Medicago truncatula: one gene and its partner. The protein of the gene in region 1 binds, or shares a complex with, the protein of each later gene. Links are inferred from orthologs where the notes say so. Each region holds a gene or a part of one and is shown on either strand. Other genes may lie near its edges.

Region 1 (16,033 bases):
ACATCTCTTATCTATTATGTAGTTAAGTAATTGATTCTATGGCTGAAATTTGCAGAGGGGGGCAATGGAACTCTGGTGGTAAATGTGATGGGGAGAGACAACCCATTACAAATGAAAGCTATCTTGCAGCATATCCATGGACAATGGGAATTGTCGAAGATGTTATAGCAGAGATGAAGACACCAGTGTTTTATCTCAACATTACCAAAATGACAGACTACAGAAAAGATGGGCATCCTTCAATTTATAGAGAACCAGGTTTCAGTGATAGCAAAGGCCGTAAAATGGTCCAAGATTGCAGCCACTGGTGCCTTCCTGGAATTCCAGACTCTTGGAATGAACTCCTCTATTCCACTCTACTTGTAGCTCACACAAATTTTATTGCTTCTACAAATTATTAACCATGCGATATGATCTTACTTAGTGTAAGAGAGACATAATTTTTAGGAAAGTAACTTGCACACCTATAGCCGTGATTGAACATTGCAGGATAGCACTTGTTACTCAACAAGAATACTCATATCCTTGTTACAGTTCCATAGTTAGATTCAAAACAAGTGTATACTTTGATACACAACTTTGTAATTTCTCCAGTATACTTTTAACTATATAGCATGATTTCTGTTTTTATTTTTACGTAAGTTGATGACGGATATAATGAATTTAACTTTGAAAGACTCCTTCAATGAAAACGTTCTATTTAACCCACATAAATTAAGTTTGAGATAAACTATTTCGACATAATAGACCACTACAATTTAAATAGCTCCATAAAATTTTGGTCTGAGTTTACAATGAAAGAAAAAGTATGAAAATATCAATACTCATTTTGCCATGATTTAGTATACAAAAGGAAGATTCATAGACAACCACCCATAAGAATATAAGATGATGCACAAAAACAAAAAAAACAGACATGTGTTGTAGGTGTCACTCCTGAAAAGCAAGGTGGCAACGGCCAATCAGAAAAACACTTCACCCCACATCTCCCAGCAGGTGCAAGAGCTTTAACATAAAAAATAAGTCCATCCAACTTTTAAGTGCCACCCTACAAAGTATCAAACATGATTGAAGAAAATGACTTGCTACAGTTAGAATAATTCCTTTCCTATTTTTACCCCTGCAAAGGGATAATAAAACTTCGCTTTCTAACCACGATTTCACAATCTACCGCTTCTTTTTATTTGAGCTTCTCCTTTCTGCCTCTTTTTCGGCAACCAGAACACAGAACTCGGAACCAAGCATGTCGTGTATATCAAGATTCGCAGAAAGGCTGAGATCAATAACTCCCTTGATGATTTCCGATGTTATAATGAATCCTAAAGTGGATAATCCTCTAACAGCATTAGCAGCCCTGCATATGTACTTTCTTGTCTCCAGTGCTGTGTACTTTTTCTCTTGTTCTTCAAGACTCACAGAATTTTTATTGGGAGTTAAAACCTGTGGATCAGATTGGTTCACTTGATCTTCTACCATGTCATCTCTGACTTCAACATGTTCCCCAACCCATATGAACCCATTACAGCCAATTATTAAATCAATACCGTACTGCTCTAGATGATGGAAATGTTGTTTCTGCCTCTTCACTAAATACGGTGTGACTGTAAGCAGTTGACCAGTACTAAGCTGCAATAACACTCAAAGCCATTAGTAACAGTAGTAAATGGCTGAAGAATAAATTTGAAATAAAATTTAAGAACCCAAAACGTATTACAAAATACAAGTGACAAACCATACACAAAATCACTACAAGTGCCATAGCTATCAAAATAAAGTAAACCCCTGATTCCAGGATTCTTGCATTACACCTCAATCATAAACAGGTAATTCTAATCCGTTCAGTTTTATATTTGTAAGCAGCATGAGTTTTTAAAAGGTTTTCAAGAATACAAACCTTTCCATATTTTTGACTTCTTGCTTGAAGGTGTAAGCCATCATGCTGAAAACCACGAACTTCAGCCTGTGGACATAGTTTAGGATACTCAACTGCTATTTCCTTCATAAAAAGTAAATTTTAAGAAACATGGCAGCACTTACACAAATGACATCTGCCTCCTCAAAAATACAGCGCATATTTAGCTCATCTAAAGCTGTCCTTCGCCTCTAAGTGGAAAGAAAAAATCTAAATGAGGGATTTTCAAGCTTAATTGGAAAAGAAATCCAAAAATATGACACAGCATATAAAAAAATAAATAGACCCAATCAAAACTGAAGATGATTGCACCTTGTTCCTATTTTTGTGCTTATAAAAACTCGAAGGACTTAACTGCTTGATAAGTGATGACCATAATTGTTTTACAATTGCATTTGTTTGTACCCCTCACCCTGTTCTATTAGTTTCTTTGAAGTTTAAATTTTAAATATTTTTTCTTGCGTGATTAGTGTTTCTTCATGCAGGCATAAAAGGTTACACCTAAATCAGTATACCCACTTCATGAAGACCGACTTCGATGACCATCAAATGTTGATCCAGACCAAATACACAATTCAGGTCATAAATAATGTTTTAAGTCCAATTAGGGCTGGAAATGAGCCGAGTCAAATCGAACGCATCTGAGCTCGACTCGACTCGTTAAAAATTGGTTCAGCTCGAAACTCTACTCGAGTTCGAAACAAACCTTTTTTTTAGCTCGTGTTCGGCTCGCTTAAAATTAACGAACAGACCGATTCAACTCGTTCAGTTCAGTTGTACAACCCACTTGGTTATATAACATCAAATTTTTTAAGATCCAAAAATTTACTAGAGGTCCTACCAGTTCTTGTTTGGCCCATATCAGAATTTTAAGCCAAACAATGCCCCAGAACTTAAACCAATCTCATTCGATAAAATTTAAAAATGAACTAAACCAATTCAATTTAAACAAAAATTGGCAATAGGACAACACATTAATTCACAATAGTGAAATTGGGCCCCAATTGTTACTTTGATCAATACTGTATCACTCTTTGATTTATAGGCAAAGCGTTCTCTCTACTGCTTACCTACTTTCGATGTGGGACATGTGAAAACAAAGAAATTATACTTTGTTACTAACAAGATGGTTTTGTAATTTATTATTAGATGTGGCACTATTTCATTTTTTTTCTTCTTCTCACAAGCCAAGTAACATAAGCCTCCACTGTATCTCCAACTTCAGAATTTCAATGGAATTTGGCAATAGTAGGGAAGCTTTATATGAGTAAGACTGCCATCAACTAACTACCTTTTGCAATAGCCTTACAACATCCATGAGTAGGAGTACCCACTCCCTTTTCTCAAATGTCAACATTAAATCAACGGTTCTGCCATCTTTACGAGGAAAGAAAGATGAACTCTTGTTAAGAGAATTGCTCAGAAGATGGCCAAATCACAAAGAGAGGACATGTCAGCGCTCAAAGTATTTCAGTTATCTTGATAGATACCATGTCCGAAGACATCAACTTCCTTCTCAACAAGAAATTGGCTTCTTATCCTTCTATTACTTGGTATATGATGAATTAAATAAACAAGTAATGGATGCAATATTAGCTATGATTGACCAGAAACACGCGAGAGAACGGTTGATTTGATGTACTCTTGAAATGCTTCCTTGTACTTGTCATACAATTGTTGAGAAAAGTAATGACTAAATTAGCAGTCGGTGCACATATTATGGATGATTGTATATATCACCATGTAGTCTTTAGAGGTAAAGTGCGGCTTCTAGTCTTTATGGATGATTGTATATATCACCATGTAGTCTTTAGAGGTAAAGTGCGGCTTCTAGAATGTTCTCGAGCTTCTTGAAAGCATCCTGGATAATATTCCATCCTTCTTAGATATCAATAGTCTTGTGGTCAATGTTTTGACATGTTGGCGAGAATTGAGAAAAATATCAAAATCGAATTTACATGCATTATTTTGTTGTGTCTCCTCTTTTTAGAAACATAAAGGGACCAATAGCATAAGCTCAATAACTTATCTAGCACAACCCAACCAATAAAAATAGATCACCACCCAAAAACTCAAAATCCACCTTACTACTTTCACATGGTCACTCCATTACAAAATCACTTTTAATTCTTACTCTCAAAATGCCAATTCATCCACCCAAAGCAAACCTAACAACAAACTTGCAATATTATTCAGACTCCTTTACTCCCAAAACTGTAGAAATTTTGCAAGCCTCTCAACATGGTCTAGTGTAAAAAAATCAGCCAAAAAACCAATAACTTTCCCCCTTCCTAACTAGAGAACACGACAAAGAACCGAACAAAGTCACTACAGATGGAACAATTTGTAATCAAACACTAAACTGGTGAATCAATTTCATCAAAAAAAACCCCAAAAAAATTGAGAATCAGCTACTTCTTCAAAAAATTGGAGAATCAATTACATCAAAAATCCAAAAATAGGAGGCATGAAGCTTGCAGAAGAGAGATGTTCTCTGCAAACACGAAGGAGAGAAGAATACTGGGTTTCACGTGCAAAGACCCCATAATACCCAATAACGTTTAAAAATTAAAGGCAATATGGGTGTTTCTAGGCAAATCGCATGTGCGTTTGCAAACCCACCGACCTGCGAACACACAGAACGGCCGCAGCCTTAATATGAGCTGCACCAAACCACACCACAGCGGCCAACCATGCTCCGGCGCACGATCGCGCCGGAGTCGCAAACCACTGCTATTGACTACCAAGATGCATACAACTGTACAAAATAGTTTTCACGTTTCAATTTAAACTCTACACTGCCCGTAGGTGCTATCACCACTTCTAAGTGTCAGGACCAAATTGAAAATTTTGTCTCGTATATTAAAAATAATTACTATGGCGTCATTTGATCCATGTAGCCGACCCCACTTAGTGGGATAAGGCTTGGTTGTTGTTGTTGTTGTATATTAAAAATAATTACTGTATTTTCATGCCCTAAACATGACAGCCTTTTCAATTTGGTTCCTATACTTCATAATATCTCTATTGAATGTAATGTCATGGAGTTACAATGGCAATAGTTAACAGGACAGAAGTTGAATACAATTGAAACTATATGACAGGCTAAATTGAACACTTTTTAACCGAGGGAGCAAATTAAAAATTACTACCCCTGCATAGAGAAACACACAGTTTGACATATATTGTAATTAATACTACTAAGCACGTGAGTGTGCATACTATAGTCAAATAACCTCCAGGATGAAACCAGGTCAGTAATACAGCAAAAAACTCATCAATACTTGCAATGCTATCACAGTTGTCAAAAATTAGATAAATTGTAATCCACACACTGAAATAGTTTTTGTTTTTTTATCTTTCATTTCTGAAAAATAACTAACTATGATAAAATTTCTTAAGGAAATGGTCCTAAATTTTGAAAAAGGAACGGTTCTCGTTGTCTGCATAAGGGAGATTGCAAAATACCTGTACACCATCAGGCATGTTCATAGCAGAAAGCATCAAATACGCGTTTTGACTGTAATTAATATCCAATCTCCAACGCTTCTGAGCAACCTACACAACACAACAAAGACCAGTAAAATTCCTAGAGTTAAACAAACATTATCAAATCAAATTCAGAAAATGGTTGAAACTATAAAAACTGTACCTCAATGACACGCCCAATAACAATGTCACCAACCTCAGGTTTGTACCTAAAATTAAGTCACAATATTCCATTAACAAACAAAAACATAACAATTAAGGAAGTGGAGAAGCTATGAACTCATGAAGACGTGTCAGTGTGTGCTTCGTAGGTTAAGAAGTAAGATTGATTACCTTGAGCGTAAAGCGCGGACATAAACAAGCTTGTTAACACGTTCAACGACACCACATAGAGTGGCGACGACTTCGCCGTCGAGATCAGCGGTTCCGTGTCCCTTGAGTACGCCGTCTTCATGGTTGACGGGGATGGAATCGGCAATGGTAACTGAAGAATCAGAATTGACCTTGGAAGAGAGAGACTCGAGGTGTTCTAGAGCCTTCTGTAGACGGAGCTTTTGAGTTTGACTCAACTGTAAATGAATCCCTCTCATGGTGGCGGTGTTGCGGTGGCTTAGTTCAGTCGACGGAGGAAAGCGATTGAGGGTGGTAGCTAGGGCACAGCTTCTTCGGTTCTCACTTCGATGTGTCCAAATTTAATAATTCACGGCGCAAGGTTTTTAACAGGGTTTATACTTTCTTTTGTTTTTTGTCCGAGATGTGGTTTTTTTTAGGTGGGTCCCTTCGGGTTGGGTGGGCCGGTTTTGGGTCATACTGATCTAACTTATTCCTAATCCTAGTTAAAGAATATTGCTTTTTAGGCCCCCTAAAGTTACAAAAATGCCCTAAATAACACATCCTATACTTAACTACCGTATGTGCATTTTTTTTAATGTAACTGTTTCACCTCCGGTACATAAGTACCGGACATATATTTTGTTTCTGTTTTCTTATGGAGGACAAAGAAAGAAGATGAAAGAGAAGGATCAGACGATGAAGTTGTAGGAGGTTGTTTCTTTTGCGGTGCTTTTTTGTTGTGACACTGAATCCATGAAATTTGGCTTCCTGTATCCAATACCCATTTGTTGAAGTTGTGGTGGTGTGCCAATGGGAAGAGTCAGAACAAGAGCCATAGAATATTTGAAAGATGATTTAACATTTATGGAAGAAGAAGATGAAGATGAAAGTGTTGTGAATTGTTGGTTGGTTTTTGGTTTGGAGTTTATGGAGATTTGAAGAGAGGTTAGAGACTAGAGGGAACGAAAGGGAGAATGAGTCATTTACATGGTGATTATTAGGTTTTGATGAGAAACATGTGAAGAAAAAGAATGATAAGAGAAGAAGCATGCACAGTGAAACAGAGCCATTGAAAAACAGAGGAAAACAGAACACGGGTGTTTTCTTTTCTTAACCCGCATGAACAAGCTTCAACACGTTTGTGCATACACGTCTCTTGGTCGGCACCGTCATACAAGCAATAAGCACTGTCGTTGTTACCTTAGATGCAACATTGTCTCCGCCGTTGTCCTGGTCATTGCCGCCCAAACCACCATTATAACACCAGAATTGGTTGCTGCCACATGTTGCCAACCACTGCAGAATCACCACCAACAATTTGTCTGTAGCATGCGACTTGTTTCAAAACGTTTACCTGTTCCGACTCGACGTCGACATTGGCGGAGAGAGCACTTGGGGAGGCACTGGCATGGGAGGATACTCTTTTTACCACCATTAGAGCGTTGTAATGTCAGATTACTTTCAATGCCACCATTGAAAAGTTGATTACTAGGTGCGATTTCATGTAAAATGTTATTTCAAAGAAGGAACAACAACGTTACAATTGGTATAAAAAAGAAACATGGTCATTTTTAATAAAAGTAGAGTCCTGATACACATACATCCCTAGCTGGCAACCTCCCCTTATACACCCCCCATGTGGCAAGGCAATATTGATATTTTAACATTAAATGAAGGGCATTTTTGTAAAATCTTTAGAAAACTACCATCTTTCCCTCTTCTCACCTACGTGTTTACTGCCACTCCATCTGGCCTTCACATTCGCCGATAAGGCCACACATCACCATACCCGCCGCCATCACAGACACACGCACCACCATCTTCATCCATTTGGTTCTCCCCACCTTTTCTCTCTTTGAACGACCTTCATCCACCACCCTCGACCCCACTACATCTACCCCACTGCGTCTCTCACTCACTCGCGTTGCTTTTGTCTCTTTTTCCTCGTCGCTACAGTGTTCCCCCCCCCCCCTCTCTCTCTCTTCTTGCTGAATTTCTCTCTCATAGCTGGCTGTTGTCCCTCTTTCCCCGGTGTCTCTCTCCTCCGCCTTCTCTCTCTCCGGTGCCCGATGGTGACTCTTTTGATTATTGCGTTTTTGGCAATACTTCCATCTTTTTCTCTTTATATTGAGTTTGACTGTGTTGTTTGGAATTATGCAAAATTAGCAATTTTTCTCTCAAATTTGATGATTGTTCTGTTAACAAATGAGATTTATTTGATCTTATTGTGTTGATATTACGTTCTCCCTATTTCTGGCAATCATGTGTTGAAGAAGTAATGTTGTTGGCATCTTACCCTGTTTTTTTTTCTTTCAAATTTCCCACCTTCATATCTATAAGTGATGATTGACACTTTGCCGACTTGTTGCATTGTGTTGTTGTTACCCACATGAAAAACAATTTATTTTTGTTAAACTAATGGCTTAAACATGTTTTGATTCAGTAAAAATATGTCTTTGAAAATGAGAAGAAAATTTGGAAGTAGAGTGAACAAGGCAGGGTGAGTGTGGCTACGAAAGAGAAGGCAGAGTGAAGAAGATACAAGATCTTTTACAGTTTTTAGATGTTTTACTTCAATTTATGTTGTATCCTATATCACAACCGTTTGATTGAATCCAACGGCTTATAATGGTGCTGCAGAGACTCTGGAGAGAGAGGGGAAATGTTTTGGCGGGATGGGATGAGTCAAAGATTTTGACCACATGGCAGTGTGTGATTGGATAATGAAGGGTGTATGTAAAGTGGTATGAAAAAGGGTGTTCATGGATAATTATCCTAAATATGCAAGATAGTAGTTAACAATTTCGTGGGATTTCACCTGCACTTTAGCATTTTTTTCATTTGGATAAAAACAACTATATATATGTATAATACATATCCGGTACTATGCACCGGAGGTGAAACAATCTTTTATTTATTAAAGTTAATCGAATGATAATTGTTGCCCTAATTTTAACCTAAATTCAGTACTTGCTTACCCTTTTTAAAATATCAAATTGCATAAATCTCTTTTTTTTTTTAAAAAAAATCATTTCCTACTAAACAGATAAACATAAAAAATAAAAAATCACTCCTGTTAACAAATTGTTCCTATTTTGTTGCAGAAATCTCCTATTTTTTGAACAAAACAAATCACTTTCTTTAAAATAAAATTTTGCTAATTTCGAATTTGACATTAGGGTATGAATATTGTGTAAATTATAGTTGATTTTGATATGTGATTGTGTGAATTACAACTTTTTCTTCATTGTTAGAATAGTTTTTGTTCTTTTTTTCATTGTTAGTTTTTGTAATAGTTATTTTATCTGTGTTTCAGTCTCAATTCAATACCTTGCAACCATGCTACTTCTCTGTTTATGTTCTTCTACTTGAATTATGGATGAATTTATGAACTTTTTTTTTTAATTCTTACCTTTTAATGTTCTTAACTTTTTTTATTTTATTTTGTAGGTTCTAATGAAGGTCCACGCAGTTATAGTTACTTGAACTAGGAGAAAAAGAGCACAGGTATTGAATTTTAGTATCCAAAATTGATAATGATTGTTCTAAGGTGACAACTAGGGTATCCATAGAAGAATGGTGGGTAATTTACCCCAACCAATACACATTAGCTACATAAGCACATTTTTAAGTGGTATCCATTAACTATCTTGATCCCACCAACAAATTTCTCATTTTCATTGGTTGGTGGATAAATTATCCACCATTCTTCAAAGGTAATCTAGAAAAAACCTTGTTCTAATGAATCTGAACGTTTCAAGGTTCTAATAAATGTTTTGAATTTTAGTATCACACCATTAATTGACTCTTTTTTATTGTGTTGTCTTTCTTTCTTTCTTTTATGTAGGTTTGATTTGTGATGTCTTGAATTCCTCGGTGCAAATGTGCTAACAATTAACTATTGAAGATTTTTAATTTTAAGATTCCTGTTTCATTTCAGATATGATTCAGTATTTATACAAATTGGATGTACGTTTCCTTTCTAAATTTGTATGTTTTTGATTTTTTCTGTCAAGAAATATTCTTTACTAAATTTTTATCAAGACATATTCTTTCCTAAATTGACGAGAAATCTAAAATGTAATTTTCATTTGGTTCTGAACATCATTTGCTTAACACCATTTTTATAATAATTCATTTTGCTTTGAACTTTTAAACATGTTAACTGCTTTGCTTCATATGTATTAGGTTGAAATATGGATGAGTTCTTTTTTCTTCATCATAAGTTACATAATGGTTGAAAATGACACAATCATAAGTATATAATACTTTCGTGGTAAGCATAGCTTTCCTCTTCTATCTCATAATTGAATTTCCTTCCTACTATAATATGAGTAAATGCGGCGTACTTTCCTTTTCTCTTGCAGGCAGAGGTACTTGGTGTTGATCCAAGAGAAGTTAATGTTCCAGTGGTAGGAGGTCATGCAGGAGTTACAATATTGCCTCTTTTATCATAGGTTTTGTAAAGGATACTTGATACTTCCTTACTTAAAAATGATGACATCGTTAAACAAGTCACTGAACCTTCTTCAAACATGTTTTTTAAAGGTTAAGCCTCCCAGTAGCTTCGCTGCAGAAGAAACCGAATACCAGACAAATCGCATTGAAAATGGTGGAAAAGAAGTTGTTGAGGTAATGTCATATCCCTTACTCCTTAATGTTATTAGGTTAGCAATCACTTAACCCTAAAAATTTCCCGCTCAAAATGTTGTATTAATTGTTGTTAGTGTTAACCCTAATTCTTTCAATATTCCACCAAATGAAATTCAAAAAACGTAGCAATATTTAACATGCCTTTTTATTAATTTGGTGATACAATGAACTACATTTAATTAATTTCTATTGTTGTGCCGTCTGAAAAACACCAATCTCTCCACTCAGCCTCTCTTTTCGATTTTCAATGCATGTAGAATGGTATCCCAATTAAGTTTGTTTTCTATATATACATGCATGTTTTTGTTTCTCTTGGTTTCATCCTGGTTGTTTTATTTCTCATAACCAATTGTCTATTATCAAGAAAAAAAATGTCAAGAGCTAGACCTGAAACACTTTTGTCCTACCATGCACTGACTGGTAAAGCAATGACATATTACGTTTGGATCTGAAAATAGTGGTTTTTTTTTCTAACTTTTCTTTTTCGTGTTTCTTTAGTTGGATCTTTGGTGAGTAACCCTGCTACTGAATTGGACAAAGCTGTCAACAAGCTCCGGACGAAATACCGCTCCTATATTGTCGAATATGATGTTGAGGATGTGGGTTTTAATATTTTGTATTCATAATCACTTCATTTGTTTTTGCTTATACGAATTTTTGACATTTACATTTGTTTTCTTTGCTGTAGGGCGCTGTTAGGTTGCCTAACCTATTTTCTGCTGACTTTGGGGATGAGATTAGCCGCTTTGCCACCTTGATAGACACAAAAGAGTCTTTATACCTAGGCTATCTCTATCACCCTCCGATGTGAGAATCCCTTTTAAATTTCAAAGAAAACAATTTCCTTTGGCTGTATCATTTGCGATGACAATCAACAAGAGTCAAGGACAATCACTACAAAATGTTGGAGTATATCTCCCGTGCGCCTGTTTTTTCTCACGGACAATTGTATGTTGCTGTTTCGAGAGTTACATCTAGAGGAGGTTTGAAGATATTGATTACCGATGAAGATGGTGATGACACAAATCTGACATCTAATGTGGTGTATGAGGAAGTATTTCGAAATGTCTGATGTACAAGTCACATATAAAATACCTTACTTTTACCTAGGCTTCATATATAATACTCTTGCATTACAATCCATCTGTAACTATCTTCTAAGATGTTCTTAATTATTATTACATATCATCCTTTATACCTTTTCCATAAATCTAAAGTTTATTATATTTTAAAGTCACCTATGGCTTATAAGACCCGTGCAGGGCACGGGTCACTTATCTAGTAAGTAATAAGTTTATCACCTAATATGTGATTGGAGTATTAGAAGGACAAACTTCTTAGATATCATGTCCTTGAACCTATGATTCTTTTTTCTTGTTTTTTTATGGAAATTTGAACCTTTAGGATTGCCTCAAAGAGTCCTAACTAAAATGTGATTTCAAGTGTTCATTTGATAAAAGATTAATTACAGTTAACTTAAAGCTTCTTCATTCTTGAGTGTGGGATTCACATTGTTATTTGGATTGATATAGTTTTTTGCTCTTTGATATGTATTCTTTTAATGTTGCAGCTACTTCATGCAGATTTCTATCGAGGCATTTCCTCAAAATTGTTGCAAATTTATCTTGGTGGATGAGGGTGGAGAACGGGTTCCTTACACGTGCAGTTCTGCTTAACATTTGATGGCTTAAGTCCCTATCTCCTGAAGAATTACGAGAAGCGGCTGCAAAAAGAATGAAATTTTTGGTTTCAAGATATAGTGGACAATTGATTGCATGGGACGTTGTAAACGAGAATGTCCACAACCGGTTTTTTGAGGACAAACTCGGCAAAAATGCCTCTGCAGTATATTATTTAACAGCTTACTATCTTGATTCGAACACCAGCATGTTTATGAACGTGTTTAACACCATTGAATTCAGTCAAGACCAAGTTGCCAGCCCAGCCAATTATATCAGGAACTACTGGAATGCTATTGGCTATATGGGTGCAAGGCCATTTGTCAAGCGGCATGCCAAACATTGCTTACATGAGGTCAGGTCTAGATCATCTTGGTGCAACTGGACTTCCTATATGGCTCACTGAAAGTAGTGTGGATTCTAATCCAAATCAGGTATTTCCTATACTTTAAAAGTTTATGCTTATTACACAAGTCAAAATACAAAGCTGCAAGATTTAAAACATAAGATGCATAGTTTAGCTATCTATTTTCGTCTGTTAGTCATAGAAGTAAAAGAAACAAACCTGAATTTAGCAAACAAATTTTTTAGAAGTATTAGTTTCATTAGCTTCACTGGCTATATTATATGATATGATCAAACAAGAAATGATTATTTTTTTGCTTATTTTTGTGTGTTGAGCAGACAATGTATTTTGAAGAGATACTAAGAGAGGCTTACTCTCATCCAGCTGTTGAAGGGATTATAATGTTTGTAGGTCCAGCGCAAGCCGATTTCATCAACACACAACTTGCAGATGCAAATTTTAAAAATACTCCAACCGGAGACGTTGTGGACAAGCTTATTGGTGAGTGGGGAACTTGAACTCATACAGCCATATCAGACAATAGATAAATCGTAGATATTTCACTACATCATTGAGATTATGATGTAACTGTTACACATCCTCTAATCCAATACTCCAAAAAACTGAATATAAGTGTAAGGAAAGGATTTTCACCGGAACCTACCAATGTAAAAATGCATGCCTAAAGAGCAACCAACTATTATAACTCCTACTGAAGCTAGCAGTATTTAACTGTGTCAATTTTGAAAGATTATTATTGTAATAAAAGGGTTTTGAAAGATTATAGCAACATTTTTTTGTTAATATTACACTTTTCATCCAAATTAGAAGTGAACTCTCTTTGTTAAATATCTACCACAACATGCACCAGAATTTTGCAATCTATATAAACAGGTGGAAGAAACATTTCAACAAACAGTTAAAGGGCATCATTTACGGCTAAGGCCAAATATTCGATAAAAGAAAAATTATTTAAATAAAACCTTTTACATTTTTTTTTTGAGGGAAAATAAAACCTTTTTTTGAGGTATATAATATAACATTAACATATAATTTTTACAAAAGAATGAAGTAGCATTTTGTAAAAAAAAAGAAAAAGGATGAAGTAACATAGCAAATAATATAACATTGACATATAATTTTAACAAAAGAATGAAGTAACACACTATTGATAAAAAATTAATATTTTTAAGGTGAATAAGTATGGTGTCTGAGGTTCGAATTCCAACATCTGCATATATTTTGGACCACATGTTTCATTCTCTTTGATATGCATTGAGATTTGCTATTTCATTCTCTTTGATATGCATTGAGATTTTTTTTTGTCTACTACATCTACAAGTGGAAAGTCTAGTTAAATTATAAAAAATGCACATGCAGTGGTTAAATACCAGATGTGTTATAAAGGACATTTTTGTAACCTTAGGGGGCCTAAAAAGCAATCTTCACACTTAAAACCCTAATTCTACATTTTTAGGCGTCAATCAGTATTACCAATTGGATCTAACCCTGTTTATGACAGCCCTTGATCTAATTTGATTCTTGCTCATCCCTCAACTGCATTGTAAATGACAAATAATTAATGTCTTCTTTTCCAATACAGATATCTATCTCGTTAGGAACCATGACTCAGACCTCACCCTCCTTTCTCTCTCCCTCTCTCCACGATTCTTCATCTCCCACCTCTTTTCCCCTTAAACCGTTGTCTTTCTCCTCTCATCCCTCCCTTCACCAATGCTCTCGGTTACGACACCATCCTCACCGTCTTCGACTCTACCGGCACCTTCTATGCCGGAGGCTTCATCTGTTCTCACCTCTGCCAAAAACTCACGTATGAAACATCTTTTCGCTTTCGATATTTACAACAACATAATCAAAAACCTCTTAGAACCTGAATCACTTCATTGGATGGTCGCATTCACCGTCTCAATATCAAGAACGATTCGCGATTGAATGTCTCACAAGATAGCAAATCTGGTAATTTTTAGATTTACAATTTTTTTACTTTTAATTTAGGTTTTTTATTTTGATTTGTTCTTGAGATTTTCAATTGATGTACTTCCTTTGGTAAGTTATTTTGATTAAAGTTTGAATATTTATGTGATTTGTTATATTGGTACTAATTATTTTTGGTTTTGGAATTTGAAAATCATGCCTCGGAACACTCCAATCTCATGTTGTTTCTCCATTATTATATGTACATCTATATGATTTTCTACATTTTTCATTACTCTCAAATCAAATATTTTCCTTTATAAAAACATGTTTGTTATTTTGATGTGTTAGTTTCTTTTTCTCTGTTGATATAAATGTTTCCATGTTGGTAATTGTTTTAATTTACTAAGAAACAAATGTTGGTTTGTTTATTGTCTGTTTTTTTATTGTAACTTATTTGGATCATCACATTGACAGATCAGAAGGTATACATATTATGCATGTTACCTTTCAGACATGTGAATTTGAGAAGAAATTAAGCAATTTGCCAATCTAAAAATAATTTAGCTGCCAAATAACCATTGGCGGCCTTTGCAATGGACTCAAGGAATCCTGCCGAATTCATAATCACAAGCAAAAATGTGGCTGCTTCTACTATGCTAAGCGTAAAAGTTTGGTTCATTATTGTCTTCACTATACCATGATATTAACTTTTATTTCTTAATTGTCTTCATAGTAACATTTTCAAATCACAGTAGTCATTCCTTCAATAAGATAATACTAACTACATTTCATTATTGGACATTATATTTGCATCTTTGGTGAGGTGTTCATCTAATATTGTTTGTCCAACCGCTTACGTTGCTGGAAAAGTCTGATGAGTGTATCTTTACATGGTTTTTAATGTTTCAATTTTTGGTTTTCATATCAGATTTGATGCAATTGTTATATCATCAGAGGTTGGATATAAAAAACCATACCCAAGAATATTTCATGATGCTCTAGGTATTTATCAGTTACTGTTGCGCAAACTTCATATATGCCAAAAAATATGTTAATTGTATATATTATGTTTCTTCCTAACAAAAATATTCAATTCTTGGTCAGACTTTGTACATGCAGTTTTATTATGATTTTAATAATAAAAAGAAAATTTTGTGCATCGAGTACTTAGCATCAAGTGAGCCTATTTTTTACTGTAAAATAGTCTTAATCTTTGCTTTTTATAGGGGTGTTGTTTCTTGCCAACCAAAAATTGGTGTAATAATAATGATGAACTTTTAAAATTTCAGCTTTTAAATCAAAATCTCTAAACTATAGTTAACACTGGAAGCTCAAGGAAAGGAATGTAGCATTGCTAATGTGTTAGGATTCATTCATATTCATATTGCTCTCCGTTTTTTAAAGATATGCATCTCCAAAAAGTTTTGAAAGTGTGCATCTGATTTATATCTATCCTAATTCACCCAAAAAATGAAAAAGTCTTGTTATATTTTGTTCTATATCTATTTATGGACTGTCCTGTTTCTACATCAATATGGCAGCAAAACGGGTACAAGAATGCACGATGGAGGTTGTCTGCTTGCAGGCAGATGATTTCAAAGATCTAATCTTCAAATATGCAGTATCACTATCACATGTGAAGCTTAATAAGTGGTGCTGCTATAGAGCCAAACTAAGTGTAAC
Region 2 (15,033 bases), on another chromosome or scaffold:
TTTGAATTCATCGTAAATGCATAACTGGAAAGACCTTACAAGTAAACAGGCAGCTATCTTGAGATATTTCAAAGCATACTTATCAATCAATAATCCAGATTATGCCGAATAAACATCATCAACAGTCAACACACATATCACAAGATGCTCAAAAAATGTTTAGCATTTGCAGCTTGTCCTTTACATATATATTTTTCTTTGTAAACCTAATAAAGTCCAACATCAGGATTGTGAAGGTCCGACCAATTGCACACATCACCAATAATCTTTTTGAAATTGGTTTGAATTCATCATAAATGCAAAACTGGTAACAAGTAAAGTAGTCGCTAGCTATCTTGAGATATTTCAAAGCATATTTATCAATCAGTAATCCTGATTATGTGGAGTAAACATCATCAACATACATATCATAAGATGCTCAAAAAATGTTTAGCATTTGCAACTTGTTTTACATATGTAGTTTCCTTTGTAAACCTAATAAAGTTCAAAGTTACCAGACTCACTACCAAAACACGCATATTCTAGAGTTGCAAAAATGTATTATCATTGTTGTTGTACTGCAAAATTTCTTTTTAACACAAGTGGTGTATTTGAAAAAAATTGAGTTAATGAGTTAAGCAATGGCAGAACCTTAGATATTGTCAAAGCGGGGCTCCACTGCTCCTTCAAGATATCAAGACAAATGCTACCATTGCTGTTGATATTTGGGTGGAAAACTTTGGTCCTAAATGCAACCTGCAAGAGAAAAAAGGTTTAAAACTGAACAAATTGTGCTTTGCATGATTTAGAAATCACAACTAGCCATATCAAAGCTTGTATTTGGAAAAGCTCTCACAATTTTTTTCCAGCCAGGAAATAGAGGAGGTTAAGTATGATAGATAAAGGCTTAAAAACAACTATTTTATGAACACACAAATCTGATATGAATCCTGATATGTCAAGCAAAACAAAGTCCAATACCTTGGGTGGCTTGAATGGATAATCAGGAGGAAAATGAATGGTAACTAGAAAAACTCCTCCGGCATAAGGGCTATCAGGGGGACCCATTATAGTTGCTTGCCAATGAAACATGTCTTCCGCTACAGGGCCTGTGAAGGTGGTGGATAAACACACAAGAAAAAACAAACTTTGCATCAGAAAATATTGTAAAAATGTTTAACAGACTTCAAATAATATGTACTGACTCAACACAATTTGCATCTGATTGTTTGATAAATACATTTTTGCAACTCAAGAAACATAATAATTGCAAACATTAGGAAGATAAAATCAGCTTTATCTTAAAGCAATAGTTATCTTACAAGACATGCATCTAATTGGACTTCACAAACACAGACAGATATAACTGAATTAGCTTCTATAATCCATCATAATTCTTAATAGAACGCAATAGAGGGTCAACGCTTAAAGTTCAAAAACAGGTTTTCAGCTCTGGGATGCATTTGATTAGTTCTACGTTGACACAAATTGATTTTGAATGAATTGATTGCGTGAAATTGATTGTGACAAAAAGTGAGTTGAATATAAAGTAATTTATGATTGAAGTTTGAACATATCCATGAAAAAGTGGATTGAAAAATAAATTCAAGGCTAAAATCAATTGTAGAAATCAAAACCTAAAAATTCTAGCTTCAAATTAGAATAAATAAATTCTTCAGGCAAAATCAATTCTGCTTGAAAACATCCAAACATGTCAAAATCAATTTCCAACCTATGAAATCAATTTTGTATCCTCCAAAAGTGAAATCAAACATGTAATTAATTCAAGAAACAAAATCAATTCTATTCGAAAACAATCAAATAAGTCAAGATCAATTTTACAACTCTAGAAACAAATTTTGCTGCTGAAACGTGAATCCAACCAAACATACTAAACTTTTTCTAAAACGAATTAAAATTTCAGACAAAAAAATCACACCTTTAACAATATTAACAAAAAACAAGAAAATTATAAATCGTTGCTTATCATTCATAAAGCATCAAAGATCCTAAACAAACTAGCAACACAAAACGAAATCAAGAAAAACATAACAAACCCATGAAACAAATGGAAAAACGATGAATACCCATAAAGATAAAAGTGAAAAATTCATAGATCCAAGCATGAGGGGTGTTTAAAGCATAAAATGGGGTTGGAGGGAAGACAAAAAAAATAAAATTACCAGCGCTGCAAGAGGTTGGAGGATCTTTCTGAAGGTCCTTGAGTTCCTTGAGGATCCGTTTGGAGGCCATGGAATTGGAATTTCCCTTCGAAGTTTTTCGATCTAAACAGTAAAAAAGTTGAAGAGAGAGGGAAAGGAGACCTGCCTCTTCAACCAAACAAGAAAAGGGAAAGAAAAAATCAATTAGTGGTAGTGGTGCTTTATAAGAAAAGAAAAAAATTAAATTAATTAATTAATAATTATTTCATAATGTTTTTCAGCTAATCCATATTTTTGGGTATTTAATTCAATAGGCCTAAGCCCATAAAAGATGGAAAACTATGTAGAAATTAAGGCGGTGACCGACGTAACTTTAGAATCATCAACAATAAGCTCAGTTATATGAGTAGTTAATGATTGAATAACGTTTTTTTTTTTTATTCACAAATTTATTAGTTTTGTGATAGACATGGGTCATTTTAACATTGATATATTAAAATTAATCTCACCTTCAACTGCATTGTTGTAAGCACTCATGAATTCAGTCACTTGGCACCAAGGCACACCATGTTCTTTCCATCATAAAGAATCAATCAGAGAGTCCCATATTTTTTTATTACCAAGTTTAACGGAAAACTTATTTTAGAAAATTAAAACATAAAACGTTGTTGTCTTTTGATATTTTTTAAAAAGAAATGAACGTTTTTTTTTTTAGGGAAAAAAGAAATGAACATTGTGAAACGATTGTCTCCAATCACATGAGATTTTATATACATCTCTATTTTAACCCTTGTTTTTTTTTTTTGCCGGGATTTGAACTTCAAACTTACATATATTATACATTATTTCCACCAACTGAGTTAAGCTCACGAGGACTTCAAGTTCAACCATTGATTTAGTTGGGGGAGAGAGACTTTGATATTAAAAAACAAAAGTGGATTTAAGGTGGAGATTTCTCAATGGATGAAAATACGAGGGAAAAAACAAGTATTAATTGCCCTAGTCATTACTCCTCCAATATTCCTCAAAATTGTATTTAGGTATGGATCCCGTACTCTAAGATAGGTCGGACTCAACAACCAAGCTAAGATTTTAGGCTTCAAAACGGGTTGCCAAAAAAAAAGTTTATTATTTTGAATTTGTTAATCAATTCCTTTAAAATTTTAAAACACGTATTAATGTTCTTTGTTAATATATAGCATTATGGTTAAATTATATAGTTTGATCAAAGGCCTACCAGGATTATGACGATTTACAACATTATTTTCTTAATAGACTAATTTGAAGTAATTGACAATGTCAATTTTCTTTTTGGACCAAGAGAAGGACATTGCTCATAAAATGAACTTACATATATCACAAACTACACATATATACTCATAAAATTTGCATTTGATCCATGTCAAGGAAGAAAGAAAGAAAAAAAATTCCGTGAGCTTAACTCAGTTGGTAGGGATATTGCATATTATATGCAGGAGCCGAGGTTCGAATCCCGGACACTCCACAATTAAATTGTGTGAGCTCTAGCCACTAGACTACTTGACAAAAAAAAAAAAAAAAAAAAAACAGATACAACATATTTGTCAAGATATATCACATGTCAAGATCTCATATCCTTCTCTTAGCCACTAACCATAGGCATATATATTTCACCTTTTGATTCTCAAGGTAGTCTTGGTCCTCAAGCTCTCCCATTACCATAGTTTCATAAGAGAATGATACATACACCTTAAAAAGGTAACATTGTTTAATTGTCTACCTGATTATTTCCTTTTCTCAATTCTCTCATAGTTAATTAATAAGAGGGGATGAGGGGGCATCTTTGTTCCTCGACAAATCCAAGTTGCATACCCACCACATTATGTTTTTTTTTTTATTAAAACAAAGTGAAGAACTATAACATTTTCTCAATTTTTTATTTTTTTAGATTGGTGAAAGGAAACAAAAGCCAACAATATATCCTCAAGAATGAGACTTCCAAAGTCACTATCATTTTCTAGAGGGATTGAGTGATTGATCCTTTCAACAATCACATTAGATCTAATACTAAATAATAATTTGATACTGTACACAACCTATCGAATTATGTACATCCTAAATTCCCAATACACATTTGGGAGAACCAAAGCAGCAAGTTGAACTGCTGAAGATGAGACCCTTTTCTTTTTCCAAGCAAATAACATGTTTCTTCATTTTATTCTTCCTTCATCTCTTAACAGAGAAAAAAGAAGTAACAAAAAAATAATTTAGATATCCAATATGATCACAAAACCTTCATTTCTGAATTGCGCAATGAACATCGATCAATCTGCCAAATCCATATCCAGATTTGTATAATAACACATCCCCAACTCATCATATTTTGATCCTGTAATCAATCATAAACAAATCCATCAACAACTTAAGTTAGAATAGCAAGTCATTTGATGAAAAATATACAAGTAAACATATATATACAAGGTCATCCAAAAACAAATGATAATAAACCAAGCAAATTTCAAAGCTACATTATAGGTAAAACGTAGTGTATGTCTGAATTGGTGGTTTTTATGTTTTGTTTCTACTTGAAAGTTTACACATTGAAATGGGACCACCCAATCAAGATTGAATAGTTCAAATCTTAAAATAGTTTTTTATTTTTGTTTGATATTAACATTTTAAGGTTGAAATTTGGATAGTCTGATCTTGCAGATTGTCACCTTTTGAAAAATGGTTTGATAAAAGTTTTACCGCATTTTCATTGGAGAACATGACACAACTAACAAGTCTTTCCCTAAACAAAACCAATAAAATTTGAAGATGAAATGCTAAACAAATGGAATAACATGAATGAAGATTATTATTAACTAAACAAGTGATGAAGAGGGTCATCATATAACATAGATAGAATAGTTATGGCGTTACCATGCATTACCATTTGAATACAGTGAAGGAACAAGGAGGCATGTCACCATTTTGAATCTGTCTCAAAGTAACATCACCACAAACAACAGTAACACCAATCATCATGGATTTCCAACCTTGAACCCTAACACTCGTTCTTGTTTTCACCTCAACACTAGGCACCAAAGCTTTACTACTAAAAGCACTTTTCAACTTCCTCCTTTGTTTCTCATTCAACTCCTCATGTCTAACCTTCGTTTCCCCCTTCACCGCCGTCTTATTCTTCACCTTCACATCAAACGCAGCCACCTTCGTCGATCCTAAATTCAAATCACCATTATCTGCCCATATCTGAACACTACTTTGTTCAAAACGCCACACCATTTTTGCATTACGGTTCTTCACTTCCACCATTGTTATCGTGTTTGCGTCGAGATAAGCACCGTCGGATTTTGTGGTTATGTTGAAACTTGGAACACGGAAAGAACCGAGGTGGAATTCTGGTATGGAAGGTTGGTAGAGAATGTAGATAACTGCGGCGGCGAGGATGAAAAGGAAGAAGAGAATGAGGAAGATGATGCAAAATGTGCAACAAAATAGGCGACAATAATTACGTTTCTTGGGTTTTGGTCGGAAAGAAGGTGGGAGAGAAGGGTTTCGTGTTGGAAGCGGTTTTTGTTGGATGTTTGGGTCTCTATAACAAGGTGGTTTTGGTAGTATTATTGGTTTTTGTTCGGGCGATGGTTGCTGCATTGTGATTTTGTGTTAATGATGATTTATGAGGTTGATTTGATAAGATTAATGAGATTGATATTGATTAATCATAATGTGATGATGTTGTTGAAGATAATGAAAATGTTGAATGTGGGTGGTTTTAGATCTAAATCTTGGATTGGATGGGAAGAAAAATAAAAAGAAAAGATGAAGGTTGTTCGTTGCATGAGGGATAAGAGAAGAGAAGAGAGAATGGAACATACAAAGTCTTTGGTCATGAGAGGGGGATAAGGAGCAGGAAGAGGACAAATTTGTTGTCACGTTATTTGTGTCCATGCCACATAGGGACAAAATGCAACAATATTTTATTTTTGAAGGGATTTTTAGTTGTTAAATACATTTTTACCCTCCTTAAAAAAATATAATGGGTTAATTGATTTTCGTCCCGCTATTTCTAAATTCCCAATTTTAGTCCCTCAATTTATTCAATTTTTAAAATTGAATCCAACATTACAATTGACGTTGATGTGGCATATTTGTAGATGACATGGAAATAAATTAGTATACACATGGATGCCACATGTTATTAAACTCAAATTTTATTACTTGTAAATATTATATTCAATAATCAATAGTAAATTTCAAATAAATAAGTAAAAGAAATTTCAAAAAATAAGGAATTGATTTTTTTTTTTAAAAGACATCGTCTACGTTGAGTTTAATCAAAAAAAATTTGAGGATTCCAATTTTAAAGATTTTTTCTAATTAATATTAATATAAATAAAACTTTTTTGAATTTAAAAATAGTTAATGTGAAGTGACATCCATGTGTGCATTGAGTTTAGTGACATGTCATTTATAGTTGTGCCCGATCAACGGAATGTGAAATTCAATTTCATAAATTAGAATAACTAAGGGACCAAAATTATGAATTTAAAAATTGGGAGAGCAGAATAAAGAAATTGAATAAAAGGGAGACTAAAAGTCTAAAATTGCAATAAAGCCAAATTATATAGACCAAGTGTTCGTTTGGTGTGCAAGATACGATAAACATATGGTATGAAACGAAGTTGGATAAAAATGCGATAGTGACGAAATAAATCTTATTTTATCATGTGTTTAGTGCACACATGCTGAAAAGTTGAAAACAAATATAGAAACATTGAAAATTGTAGAAAAACAAAGTATTTAACTCTTTGAAGGTAGAAAATTTGTTGTTTCCAATGAATTTTGTTTACTTTTTAACTTTCATATCTGTGTGCTTCATAGGTTCTTTGAGAGATTAATCATTGTTAATGGATGACGCAACTTCGTACCAATATCACTATAACAAAGTTTTTTTTTTTTTTTTTCCAATTCACTAAAAGTTTTTATGTCTTTTTTAATTATTTAATTTTTAAATTATTCTTCTTATCATATCATGCTAGGTTCTTTTTTTGTTTTGTTAGTGACCGAGATTTAAACCCCAAATCTTACATATATTATGCATTGTCCCATATTTGTCTTATAAATACGAGACTTTACATATATTATTCGTTTTAAAATGAATAGAACGACAGCGTTTTGGCAAAACGAAAAAACTTGGCGCAAGATTCTATAGCTAGTCTCTTCTGAATTCTGAACTCTGATTCCACCAAAAAAGCGCAAGTCTCAGACCGCCGCCGACCACCGTTGGCACTGCAGTGAGCCGCCTCGGAGCACAGGTTTGTTGGTTTCTGAATAGAATGTTTATTTGCTTCAATTAAAAGTGAATTTATTTATTTTAGCTTATCAACTCGCATAAGGGTTTGGAAGATTTGATCAAAGAACAGAGTAACGGAAAACAACATTGCCTGAGATGGAGTACGTCAGCCCAGAAGGACTTCGCTCTGATGGTCGCCGACCCATGGAAGTACTGCTGTTTTCCCCTTTTTTTTCTTCAATTAATTTTCTTTCTGTATTTTAATTTCACGTATCAAATTTACCTTACTGTGTCTCTTTTCTCCTCTTTATGCAATCCTAGATGCGACAAATTCGAGCAGAGATTGGTGCTGTATCCAAAGCTGATGGGTAGATACTTTTATCTTTCTCAATTTTTTTTAATTTTTTTTTTTTTATATTTAATAGTATATTTATTCAAAGCATTTCACCACAAACTTCTTTTTCATTGTAAATCCAGCTCTGCTATTTTCGAGATGGGTAATACCAAAGTCATTGCTGCTGTTTATGGCCCTAGAGAGGTACTTTATAACCATTTTACTTGCTTATGCATGTTCGTTCTTGTAAATTTAAGATGGATTCATATCTTTTCTAAGGGAATAATCAGCTTTGTTGGTTACTAAAGTTTTGAGCTTTAGACGACTTTGCCGTTTTTACAGTTTCTTCTATATATTTCAGGTGCAAAATAGGAGCCAACAAATGAGCGACAAGGCTCTGGTATCTTTCTTCTATTAAGTTATAATATAATACATTGGGTGTACTCTTAGTTTATTTAGATGCATTGCACTGAAAATTTATTTAATCATGTTTTTTCTTCTTTCCATGTCTAGGTTCGATGTGAATACAGCATGGCTAATTTTAGCACTGGTGATCGCATGAGGAAACCAAAGGGCGACAGGTTATTTCTTATTTACTTGTTTAATTTCCCAGTCTTTTTGCCTGATCTTGATACTTCCTACTTAATTGATATAGTACTGCTGTACTGATAGGACAAGAGTGAGCGTAGAAATAATATGATTACTCTTGAGAATAACTTGCAATTATGAATTAGACATTTCCATCTTTTTGCACACGTAAGAATTAAACTACGAAAGAGGTGTGGAATTTAAGAATTGTATTACGTCTTCCTGTTCTGCTGGGATTTTTTGTAAGGCTTGGTTGTTGTTGTGATGAAATGTAAATGCTGGTTTGGTTGAAATTCTAAGTGAATAGGGTAACATATTAAGAGAGGAAATGGTAGTAAGCCTGTTGATTGTCAAAGTAAAGCCTTTGTCAAGGATCCAACTCCACAAAACCCTGGTAAACAAAGTGCTGCCAACCTTGCTTGTATGACGGGTTATTATGGTTTAGCAGCTTATCTTTCAGAAAAGTCTCTAGTTGAGCAGCTCAATACATGAGCTTAGCTGGAAATATTAACGGTTTATTGGAAACAGGCACGGCTGATCATTGAACTCTGAGAACCTTACCAGGGACCAGCTGATTTTGAAGGAACCTTTAGCAGAAACATGGTGAGGAGATTATCTGTTGGAATACGCGAACCTTGTAGATAAGGTAGATTTTTGGGGAGTGGTATTGTTAGGATCTATCCTTATAGTTATTTAGTTAAGAAGATAAGTTAACTAGTTAGAAGGGATATAAATTAACTAAATAGTTAGTTAGTAGAGAAATTAAGTAGTTTAAAGGGATAAGTATGTATAGGAGACATAAGGATGGGAGAGGGATCCAATACATGTGTTTGTTTTATTGTGAAAGGACAAAGGAGTTTTGTGAAAGTGAAACCATTAGAAGCGAAGCGAGTCTCATCTCCTATTATCATTCTTAAAGTAAAATGTGTTCAATTTTTTCTTTCTTCATTTCTTTCTATCAATTATCCATTTCTTTCCCTTTGTTCCTAACAAACTTGGTGCTCAATTTTTTATTTAGATATAAATATTCCTTCCATTTGTTTGTCATTCAGAGTTTATTAGATTGGTTGTTCTTGCAATGTTCCATAACCCTTGGTATGGGACAGCCTCTTGTTTGTTTCTTATATATTTGATTGAAGTTTTTGCTCATGCTACAGGAGATCAACTGAAATTTCTCTGGTTATTCGACAAACCATGGAAGAATGCATATTGACACATTTAATGCCCCGTTCCCAGGTTCTATTATAGTCTCTGAACCTTATTTTTTTTAATCATTGTAAATTGTGTATTTTCTTTTTGAAATGATTTGGCTATTTAATTTGCAGATAGATATATATGTCCAAGTTCTCCAAGCAGATGGAGGTAATTCATGCCTGATATTGGGATCTTGTGATCCTTTTTCATCTTGTTAATGTATTTTATTTTTGTTCTTGTGCTCTTTTTAAAAAAATCTCCTGTTAATTGTTAGCAATATTTAAAACGGGTCTCTGTACTTTTATATAACTTTTGTTCGTAACATGCCTTTTGTAGGAACTAGGTCTGCTTGTATAAATGCTGCAACTTTGGCTCTAGCTGATGCTGGGATCCCTATGCTTGATCTTGTAACGTCCTGTAGTGCTGGATACCTCAATAGCACCCCTCTGCTTGGTATGTATGTTTTACTGAAAATTTTAACTGGGTGTTTAGCTAGGGTGCTTTGTCTTTTTTTGCAATAGTGAACTTTCGATTTAGTACTGCATGGTTTATCATAATAATTGAAAGTTGCTGAATGAATATGGACAGATTTGAACTATGTAGAAGACAGTGCTGGGGGTCCTGATGTAACTGTAGGAATTTTGCCGAAGTTAGATAAAGTGACCCTTCTTCAGGTAAATTTTCTCCATATTTGTTTTGTAGTCAGGGAAGTAAATTAACTTGGAAAAAAATGAGTTTATTTATGTTCGTAACCTGGTCCTAGGTTATGGATTGTGTAGTGTCTTGCTTAAATGTGAAAGTTTATTATGTCCTTACTGCAGGTATTTACCCTTTGTATAGAGGCTTTAGGATCTTTAGGACCTATCTCTCTTTCAATTCTCTCTCTTGCTCTGTTATTGGCAATTAGCAGTCACATAAAGGCTGTCGGCATTTTCCGTCCCTCCTTCCAAAATTGTTCTCATCTTTAGACCTAGATTATTGATTTGACTCCTATGAAGTGAGAACTGCACTATAGAGGAAAAAATAGGAGTTATAGTCCTGTTAGAAAGTCAAGGCATACTTTGTGATATTGCATGTTATAATTCCATACTATGCCCCTATGGAAGTGTGTCCCTCATTTCCGGGGGACCAAATACAAAGATTCCTTACCTTTTGTTATACTTTTTTAAACTTCCCAGACCTCCATTTTTTTCCAGCAACATATTTTATTTTCTTGATTGCATATTTTTCATTAGCTCTCCGAATTTAGACTGATATTCTAAAACTGTACTATACACAACGCCGCAATAGCGGCCTCTATTGACTTCAGTGTGTGCACTTGTTATCATAAAAGCTGATTAAGATTTGAGAACTTGAACTTTTAACAGAAATAGATCACTGTAACATATTTTGTTGAAGGCAGTGCATTTATTTTCTTCACCAGTTTCTTTCATTGTATTTTCTCTTGCGTACGAACTAGCTGCCGTGTTTCATAATTTAGAATGGAAAGCATATAGTTTGATTGAGCGGCGTTCAGTTGGGTGTGGCTTTTACTTCATTTTTGGATTAGGGGACATCAAATTTTGTTTGGACTAATTTATTTCGTTATTTACTGTAGATGGATTCTAAACTACCAATTGATATATTGGAAAATGTTATGCAACTGGCCACGGAAGGATGCAAAGCAATTGCAAACTACATCCGAGAAGTAAGAATCTGTCTCATTCATGTGATTGATATAGTAGTAAAAACTAAAAACATGGTTCATATTCATTTCATAGCTGACTTCCCAATTTCTTTATTGATTGACAGATTTTACTGGAGAACACAAAGCAACTTGAGTATCGCAGGGGTTCATAGTTTTATAGAAGTAATGCTTCCTTTTTGTTTGCATTCCATGTTGGTTTATTTCATGTTATACATATAACCTGATGCTATGGTGGTTGTTGCTGATGGTCGTATCTTTCCTGAACTGCAGGTTCTTATTTTCGTCAGTTATGCAGTTTTTCTTCAAAAAAATTTATTAGAATTCTATTGTTGGCATACGGTACTGACTCAGGCAGGAACAAGTAGAGGTGAACGTGCTTAAATGCTGTTGTCACCTAGTTTTCAGGATACCATTGAACTCATTACAACAGTGTTCTGTTTCATTTAACCAAGCTTGAATTAAAATTTTGCCCCATCTTTCCTTTGATTTATCGGGCTGGAAATATTTACAGTTCAAATTGTTGTTATACCAAAAAATTTCAATAGGTGTTTCATTTCGCTGTTGACGAACATGATCGAAGTAGTTTTTTTGTTATGAGCTGTGTATTGAATGACTCTTTAGAGAGGAGTTAACAACAAACTATATATATATAACACATTATTCTTAGCAAACTCTCATTTTAAATTCAAGTAGGTCTACTAAATCACGCATGAATAACATCTATGTCAACTTGTATGTTGTTTTTCATTACTTCTAGGTCCTTATGTATAATTTGAAAATGTAGTTGTCTCATTTATTCTCTAATTAGTATTTTGTTGACATATCTTCACCTTAGCCAAGCAGGTACCTCGTTTATTAGCGAACACAATGTTAGTTCTAAAAATAAACCACTTAAAATTAACTAAATACAATTAACTCCAAAGAAAGTATATAAATAAATAAGCTAAAATGCCGTAAGTCTCCCTACCCTCCAAAAGTAACCACTTGAAAAATTTCTCCAACAAATAATTAAATAAGCTAAAATGCCATAAGCCTCCCTCCATCCAAAAGTAACTAGATGAGTCCGTTGCTATCACATAATTCTTTCTTTATATTTAGTGAAATTGGTTTAAATTTCAACTAATTAAAAGAGAATGTACCTAGAAGAGTGCATTGCTCTCATAATTCTTTCTTTAATACCACTTGTCTAAGTGCTTAGGTTTTGTTTTTTTCATGCCACTTGTTTAGTTACGACAAAAAAGAAAACCAAGTTGTGTTTTATATACTTGGTTGTTTGTTTTTTACCATCAGAAAAAACAAAACCGCTTGCGTTTTTTTATCTCTTGTGATAGCCATAGGTCCAAAATAATGCTCTACCGTTCTTTCTTTAATCACTCATTTAAATCTCATGTTCCAAATCAGCTTTGACGTCACAAGTCAAAACTTAACCTCTCAAACACTACCTACCAAACATTTTGGTTTTGCAACTTTTTTTTTTGTTTTTGGAATTTATGTATACCAATATAATTATTGATTTATTACCTCAGGAATTTCACAAAATATCAAAAACATAGGCTTTTCTTTCTAGAACTAGAAGTAGTATTTGTAGCATGAAAATAACACAACAGAAAACCTGATTACTCCTAGAAAGCACTGCTATTTAGTATCTTACTTATACTGCAAGTAACTTAATGCTACATAGCTAAATGCAACGGAAATTCCGATAACATGAGCTTTTGTACAATTCCATTCTCTCAAAGAACACTTCTGTCCAGACCGAGACGGTCACCACAAAAACTTGATGGCACAATCGAGAGCTGAAGCCGCCCTGTCCATTCCTCTCCGGGCCTCAAGTTCACTGGTGTCTCTATTACTGCTGCATCTACACAAAGCATCTGTTTGTACTCCTCATCACCAAAGTCCGTCATCGACTTTGATTTCTTCTCCCACGGATTCCACACCGCTGCAATTCAAGAAAAAACAAGGCTGTCACCAATGTCAAGGAAATTGTATTTTTTTAACAATTAAAAATCTTGTTCACATTTCAAGTCAAGCTATGAAAATTATTGTTGGTGGCATTGGATGAACTAGAAAGACAGTGTTCCGCTAAATAGTAAATCGCTTACCAACATCAGGGAGACCTTCCTTTTTTATAATATATGTTTGTTTCCTCTCATGATCTAGAACTGCAATTATATTTGGAGAGCTAAGATAAACACGATCCACCTGCTCGGAAGAAAGAATCAATTTTGAAAACCTCTTTATTCATAGGCTAGGAATGCAGAGGTATAGTTACCTCAACCGAAAATCTAAAGCTTGACTTGTGTCGTGGAACTATAGATATGTATATGCTGTAAACATAAATACAATTCACAAGATTTACCTCGGATTCAAATGTTATCGCATCTCCTTGTTCTGTAAATCGTTCTTTTTGGGAAAGGTTGTCCAGGTAATCAAGTGTCTCAAGACCTTCAATCCTTATCTCACTGTACATAATTGTTAATGTGAGCTAACTAATCCAACAGTCAATTCGCAATACAAGAAAAAAGATGATTGGATTAAAAGTTAATGTGAGGTAATGTATATTCAATTTGCAAATTTGTGTAGCTAATTAATTGTGTAGCTAACTAATGATTGTCAACTACAATAATGCATTATCCATACCTAATGTCAGAAACCAGTAAGTATGTGTGGTATGCGAATGAGAAACTAAATGGCTTGCCATTGATATTCCTGACTCGTGATATCAGGGTTATGTCTCCGTTTGTTGTAAGCGACACTCGAAGCCGGAACTCAAAACTGGTACAATTAGGAACAAGTAATATCAGATACATGTTAGCTTCAAACAACCAAAGTGATAGAAAAGAAGAACGGAAACCCGTCAAAGTAGATATCCATGTGAACTATGGTTTTATGGCGTTCAAGTTAATACCTATGTGGCCAGCATTTCATGTCTTCTTCAGATGATTTGAGTAGCAGGTCGACGAAGGATTTCCCGCTGGAATCATTTGCAGGCAGAGGAGGAGGGTTTTCATCAATCACCCACATTCTATTTCTTGCAAATCCGTGCAGCTCCATCGATCCACAGTTTCCAAACTATTATAAACAAATTTAGGTCTAAGATATATGAGTTATGCATGTTAAAATTTATTGAGATTTGAGATTGAACATTCAAAACAGTAATTAATTATACCTGTGGAAAACATATAGGAATTCCTCCTCGTGCTGCTTTTTGTGCCTTTGGAGTTGTCTATAATCAATTGCAAAGAAGAGAAAGTAATAAAATATGACTGTTTGCCACTTTACAAAGAAAAATTGGCTGCAATTCTATATTTCCACAATGTCATCATCTAAAATACATATACTTTGTAATGAAAACTAAAAGACATACCTTGCTACTTGTGAATAGAAGTTCTTCCCCCTGCTCATTACGCCATGACGTGACCTGTGCTCCATTCAAGCTCACCTAATTTCAAGAAAAAGACAGTTAATCCTAATTCCTAATGCTATTTTTGATTACATGTTCAAACTAAAAATATCATTATGAACCAAGATTTCCTTCTCATGTATTGATATTTAAAGTTATAAATGTTAAAAGTTAAAACTGATGCGAACACATCAATCGACAAGCTTTCCTCACCCTTGCCGAAGCGCCTTGTGGGGTCCGAAGCACAACTTGACTAACTCCATTCTGGTCCTTTGTCATTTCTGTTGCTGCCCTAAAGTCCCACACAGCTGCAGAATGCCCCATCTGAAATAATTTAAGTCCTCAACTCTCAGAGCAAACCCTGATAAGCTTAATGAATTCCCTACACGCCAATGCCCTTAGATT

Evidence for each region.
Region 2: exosome complex component RRP4 homolog (region 1) and exosome complex component RRP41 homolog share a complex: the UniProt entries of both Arabidopsis thaliana proteins name them as parts of the RNA exosome complex. The link is inferred for Medicago truncatula from reciprocal best matches to the Arabidopsis thaliana genes RRP4 and RRP41.

What each region holds. Positions count from the first base shown.
Region 1 is NC_053045.1:58,350,781-58,366,813, reverse strand, and holds exosome complex component RRP4 homolog, read right to left. Parts: upstream 6,112-16,033; 5' UTR 5,992-6,111; coding exon 5,735-5,991; intron 5,611-5,734; coding exon 5,565-5,610; intron 5,471-5,564; coding exon 5,381-5,470; intron 2,104-5,380; coding exon 2,038-2,103; intron 1,961-2,037; coding exon 1,895-1,960; intron 1,627-1,894; coding exon 1,168-1,626; 3' UTR 734-1,167; downstream 1-733. Other genes in the region: protein trichome birefringence-like 4, read left to right, coding at 56-401. UniProt on the Arabidopsis thaliana protein: Non-catalytic component of the RNA exosome complex which has 3'->5' exoribonuclease activity and participates in a multitude of cellular RNA processing, maturation and degradation events.
Region 2 is NC_053048.1:55,305,173-55,320,205, reverse strand, and holds exosome complex component RRP41 homolog, read left to right. Parts: upstream 1-7,287; 5' UTR 7,288-7,441; exon of another isoform or gene 7,442-7,522; 5' UTR 7,523-7,575; coding exon 7,576-7,629; intron 7,630-7,740; coding exon 7,741-7,787; intron 7,788-7,896; coding exon 7,897-7,957; intron 7,958-8,114; coding exon 8,115-8,153; intron 8,154-8,266; coding exon 8,267-8,334; intron 8,335-9,498; coding exon 9,499-9,577; intron 9,578-9,666; coding exon 9,667-9,703; intron 9,704-9,871; coding exon 9,872-9,988; intron 9,989-10,123; coding exon 10,124-10,209; intron 10,210-11,132; coding exon 11,133-11,222; intron 11,223-11,326; coding exon 11,327-11,374; 3' UTR 11,375-11,384; intron 11,385-11,492; 3' UTR 11,493-11,893; downstream 11,894-15,033. Other genes in the region: ubiquitin-conjugating enzyme E2-17 kDa, read right to left, coding at 631-735, 961-1,088, 2,163-2,232; uncharacterized protein, read right to left, coding at 4,497-4,509, 5,056-5,777; putative glucose-6-phosphate 1-epimerase, read right to left, coding at 12,956-13,164, 13,328-13,427, 13,585-13,687, 13,866-14,000, 14,134-14,297, 14,395-14,451, 14,593-14,667, 14,842-14,952. UniProt on the Arabidopsis thaliana protein: Non-catalytic component of the RNA exosome complex which has 3'->5' exoribonuclease activity and participates in a multitude of cellular RNA processing, maturation and degradation events.